2 linked regions of the Oryzias latipes genome follow. Each later gene encodes a partner of the first gene's protein in a complex. Links are inferred from orthologs where the notes say so. Each region holds a gene or a part of one and is shown on either strand. Other genes may lie near its edges.

Region 1 (2,453 bases):
TTGGCGAGTGAGGATGTGCTGCAGCACCTGGACAAATGTAGCCTGGAACTCCTGCTCCAGCAGCACCGAAGCTCCGCGGATGAACCCCAGCACCACGGAGACGGCAGCGTTCACCACCTCGCCCGCCGCGTTGTACCGGATCACATAAACTACCTGGAGAGACAAAGTTCTTCAAAAATCCAATCGCCCAAAACGACTCTGACGTTTCCGAAGAACGGAGACGCTTCGACAGTTCACCTTCAGCGCCACACGGGCGCAGACGCCGGTGCTGAGGAGAACAGGACGCAGGTCCTCTCCGGCGCCGACCGTCAGCTCAGACTGAGTTCCTTCTGTGGACCGAAGCACCACGGAGGATACGTCCACAGGAACCACCTGGAGCAGGAAGTGGGACAATAATGCGTCTGAATCATCAGCCCGTCCGTGCTTCAGTGATGTTTCACAGCTCTGATGGGAGAAACTGGAGACCTGAACTTCACGAGACGAGCCTTTATACCGAAAAGTCTAGCTTTTATTTTAGAAACCTTAGAAGAAATGATCAATACTTAAGACTTTAAAAATAAAAAAATAGATCTATCAAACTGGAAACAGGAAGTTTGCAGCTGAATCGTACATGAGGGAAACTTTGGAGCACAGCTTCAGTTTAGGCAAAAGAGAAAATATTATCTTCACAAACAGAAATGAGGAGAAATACTCACTGCTGCATCTTGATTCTTCCCCTGCAGAGCAGAAAAAGCGGCAAAAGGTTTGCTATTCAGTCACACTGGACACATTTGGTGGAGGTACATGAAGTTTCAGCTTCTCGTGTATAAAATAATTCACAAAAATAATAAATTATTAGTTAAAATGTTAGAATAAAGTCTAAAGTATCTGAATTATTCAGATCTAGCATCACTTTTCAGTGGAGAAGAGGAAAGAGCATTGAGAAGCTGGCAGTGCTGTGCTTTCAGGACGGGAGCCTCACATTAAGCAGCAGGATGTTGGAGTATGAGTCCATGCTGAGAGCAGGCAGGGAGCTGCAGTCCGTCTCCAGGATCACGCGTCGGGAACACCGGCTCTGCTGATCCTTTAGGAACGCTGGGGGAAAAAAAACAGCAAAACACTCGATGTCAAAGAACAATAAATAAAAAGAGTCAAACCTACATGTGAACTCTGTGTGCAGACATGAAGCCCGCTCAGGTTTACCTGCTGGACTCTTGTCCACACAGGCAGCAGTGATGCCTGCAGCAGGCAGGTAAAACACCCCCCCCTGCCCGCTCTCGTCTGCAGTCCTCAGGACATCTCCAAACTGGAACCACAGCCAGAACCAACAACCTGATTCAGCACATTAACCACTTTCTACAACACCACAAGAGCGCCACCATGTGGTATTGACTGTTAGCGCTGCTAGCATGGTTAGCATCTTTAGCAGTGTGTTTTTCTGTGTCTGAATTCCCTAACTACTAAAAAAACTAAGCAGAACTAAAATACTAAGTGCCCTGAATTATAAAAGACACCATGCTCACTACTTTTTTTTCTTAACGGCGGATATGACGTCATCGTTAAGTTAGAATCTATGAAATCAAGTTCATATCTATTTAATATGAGCGTTTTGTGACGATTATTTATGAGTCCACTGTCTTCTGAAAATAAAAACGTTGATGATTTATAAAAATATTACATTTAAATACATTTTTTTGGGCAATTGTTCCGATGCAATGCATTGTGGTATATATTCGCACTGGATTTTGGAATTGTAGGTTATGTCCAAACTCCCACCCAAACCCCTACATAGTGCACTCAATAGTGCGATCGCCATTTTCTAGTGCTGTCCAAATCTACAATTCCAAAATCCAGTGCCCTAGAAATTTCCCGGGAGTCTCAGCGAAAAACAGGTGGGCTTCGACGCTCAACAGATCGGCGAATATAGACCACAATGCATTGCATCGGAACAATTTTTGCCAAAAACAAAATCTATTTAAATGTATTTTTTAATAGTTAATGATGCTGAAGCACTGCTGGCACTTTCAGCAATTAATTAGCACTTTTAGCCAAAGTGAACATTGGCTGTGAGGGGCGAGAAGCAGCCGCTTAGCCAATGAGGGCACGTAAAAAGAGAGCGGTGTGGGGGCAGTGAGGGTGGGAGGGGGCAACAGCTGCTTGGCTAGTGAGGGCCGGTAAAAAGCGGACCCAGACGGCGGGTTGTGCCTGTCAGCCATACAACACCAACCACAGCTTTACTACCGAAGCTTGTACAAGTGTAAAACAGCAAAGAAAGTAAAGCCCCCCCCCTCCCTCCCTGTTTTTTAAAAACAGAGTTCAAACTATTGAGCAAACGCTCAAAACAGCCACTGAGTCAAACGTTACCTGGTATCCAGGTGAGCTCTGGACTTGAGCGGGAAGCTCCTGGTCGCTGCTCTGAGCGCCAAACATGAAGCTGCTGAACCGTTGAAAGAGAGTCTGGAAGTTTCTGTCGG
Region 2 (2,817 bases), on another chromosome or scaffold:
ACTACGTCCTAGTAAACAACACAGGTTTCTTTATTTTGGCTTAAAACTGCATAATCATAATTAAAAGACCACTGGGAACGCTTTTACAATACATAAAAAATGATTAGAGCGCGTCTTTAGATCTTTTTCAAAGCTCTTTAATCTATTTTACAACATTGCCATTATTTGAGGGCTTTCTTTTTCTAAATTAGAATACACTTTAACTTGAGTTATTATTTTCTTTTGTTGCTATGTTACATTGCACATCACATAGATTTAAAGTTTAGTGAGCATCACTAATGCCTTTTACCTTTCAAGAGGAACTTGTATTTTGCATTTAAAATCAATATATCAGGATAAATGTCCTGTAAAATGTCATACTATTAGTAAGGTCATCAGTTTTGTGACCTTAATGAGAGGTCATCTTACTTGAGGATTTAAGGTACATTTTTTTTAAATATCAAAATAAACCAAAGTCTTTGCAAAACTGTCTCATAAGGGGAATGAGGGGAGGACTGCTAGAAAATGTTATTAAAACCAAGTTAAAGGTAAAAACTAGGGTACAGCAAAAAACAACCAACTTCGATGACAGTATTTTATTTACACATATTGGCATTTTGAGTGATAATTGCAATTTGAAACGTACAAAAACGTGGAGAAGCGTCATGTGTAAATATAAAGCACGTGCCAGTTGAAATGTCATGGGTTTTTCGGAGTTGCTCCGTCATGTCACGCATCAGCTGTCGACACCATATTTGTCAAAGTGTCTCATAATTACACCGAGCTCCAGCTCCACAGTTCCCATGGCCTCGGTCTGCAGTCGGTATCTGTCCGCTCCGCTGTAGATGAGGTCCGGACTGCGGAGTTGTGGACCTCCGCCGACAAACATTTGGGTGATCTGTTCCTGCCAGGAACCGAGCGGCCTCCACGTCACACACTCTATCCGGTGGGTTCCGGGGCTGCACGGGACGTGGCAGTATCCGTATCCGTACAGCTGGCAGCGCCCGAACGAGTCCTGGTGCCACACTTGGAGGTGTAGCTTCGGCCAACCTTGCAGTCCTTTAGTTGCGAACTGTAGATCGATTGGGTGACTCCAGTAGGCCATATTACCCGTTTGGGGGATGTCCACTTGGGTCTGGCCCTCCTTCAGCCCAGAGAGAAGCCGCCATGCTCCTCCAGTATGAACTCCCCATTTGCAAAATAGACTATTTTGCGGAAAGCCTCTGGCCCCGAGGATTTGTCCTATAATATGCAGCTCTGCCATGTTACAACAGCCTTCTTTGACCAAAACATACGACTACAAAAAAGGCTCCTCCACCCTTCGCCAGTAGTTGCTAGCTTAGCGGCTAGCAACAGCCGCCGCACACGTCTCCCTGGCAACACAAACCGGTTTGCCGTCAGCGCTAAGATTTAACCCTCCTTTCTGACTGTCAGGCACAGCTCTCTGCTTAATGTGATTCCGTTTCTTACAAAGCAAGATAATAGGAAACCACTGGCGGGAAACTCGTGTGTCCCGTTACTAACCAGATTTTATTTTGGGGTAAATAGTCGGTGAAGGACAATAATTAACCACAATATTATACATTTGTATCCTGAAAAACTATACTCAGGGTTAAAGTTTCATGGTGTCTTGTTTTCATTTTTGTTCTAACTTTAAAAAGTAAACTTATACCTGCTCATTTCAAATACATTTTTTTAAATTGCCTTTGTCTGCATGTGTGTGTTTTAATTTGTATCAAACTGGAGGAGGTTACAGTGCCTCATATCAGAACACAGGAAAGAATAAAAGGAAATAGCCCCTTCAGTGGCTCTACTTTGTAGTACTCTGCAATGGTGGTGATATAGTTCTTTGCATTTATCAGCGAATACATTGCTATGTCATAATTTACGACATATAATCATAATAAATGTAACCATGACCATTTTTCTATTGTGATCAAGAGTGCAAAACAACATAGGTCTTTTGTGTACATATATATTTTATGCATTCTTAATGATTTTGATTGTTTTGTTGATTTTATTTAATTGTCCTAATGTGTTGGCTCACCCAAAAACACTTTTGATGCTTGAACCTATAGCAACAAACTTTTATTGGTTTTTTCAGGTTATTAAATACATTTTTTTCCTTGGGCTGATTTGGTTTTCTCTCTTTTTCTTTCAAATAGTCTGATCCCACCCTTGAGAGGCATTTCAAGGGTCACAGGGGTGCAGTGACGAGCGTAGATTTCAGTTGCAATATGAAACAGATTGGTGGGTATCTTCTCCTTGATTTTCCTAATTGCCAAAGTGTTTTTACGTTCAGCAAAGTCATTTTCTTTCTTGTCTGTGTTTTTTATTCTCTCAGCCACAGGTTCTGTGGACTCATGTGTAATGATCTGGAACATGAAACCTCAGATGCGAGCTTATCGCTTTGAGGGCCACAAAGACGCAGTCACGTCTGTGCAGTTTTCTCCATCGGGTCACATGGTCGCTTCGGCCTCCAGAGACAAGACTGTACGTCTTTGGGTTCCCAGCATGTAGGTTTTTTTTTCAATTTGTCATTTTGTTTACCGTTACTTTGTTTATCCTTCATAACAATAATGCCTCATCAGAGTAACAAAGCTGAAATCACTGAATGCCACTCATCATTTTTAAGTCAAAACTGGTCAAACCCACTGAGTTTTGTTTGATTTTCATTTGTGGTGATGTGTGTGCTTACAGAAAGGCGGACTCAACAGAGTTCAGGGCTCACACCGCCGCTGTGCGTTGTGTTAACTTTTCTGACGATGGACAGACTCTGGTAACAGCATCTAACGATAAGACCATCAAAGTGTGGACCGTTCACAGGCAGAAGTTTCT

The links.
Region 2: tctn1 (region 1) and b9d2 share a complex: the UniProt entries of both Homo sapiens proteins name them as parts of the tectonic-like complex. The link is inferred for Oryzias latipes from reciprocal best matches to the Homo sapiens genes TCTN1 and B9D2.

What each region holds. Positions count from the first base shown.
Region 1 is NC_019868.2:27,629,375-27,631,827, reverse strand, and holds part of tctn1 (tectonic-1), read right to left. Parts: coding exon 2,344-2,453; intron 1,286-2,343; coding exon 1,183-1,285; intron 1,075-1,182; coding exon 962-1,074; intron 717-961; coding exon 696-716; intron 373-695; coding exon 238-372; intron 154-237; coding exon 28-153; intron 1-27. UniProt on the Homo sapiens protein: Component of the tectonic-like complex, a complex localized at the transition zone of primary cilia and acting as a barrier that prevents diffusion of transmembrane proteins between the cilia and plasma membranes.
Region 2 is NC_019863.2:10,016,882-10,019,698, reverse strand, and holds b9d2 (B9 domain-containing protein 2), read right to left. Parts: upstream 1,410-2,817; 5' UTR 1,244-1,409; coding exon 716-1,243; 3' UTR 561-715; downstream 1-560. Other genes in the region: poc1a (POC1 centriolar protein homolog A), read left to right, coding at 2,145-2,229, 2,324-2,495, 2,680-2,817. UniProt on the Homo sapiens protein: Component of the tectonic-like complex, a complex localized at the transition zone of primary cilia and acting as a barrier that prevents diffusion of transmembrane proteins between the cilia and plasma membranes.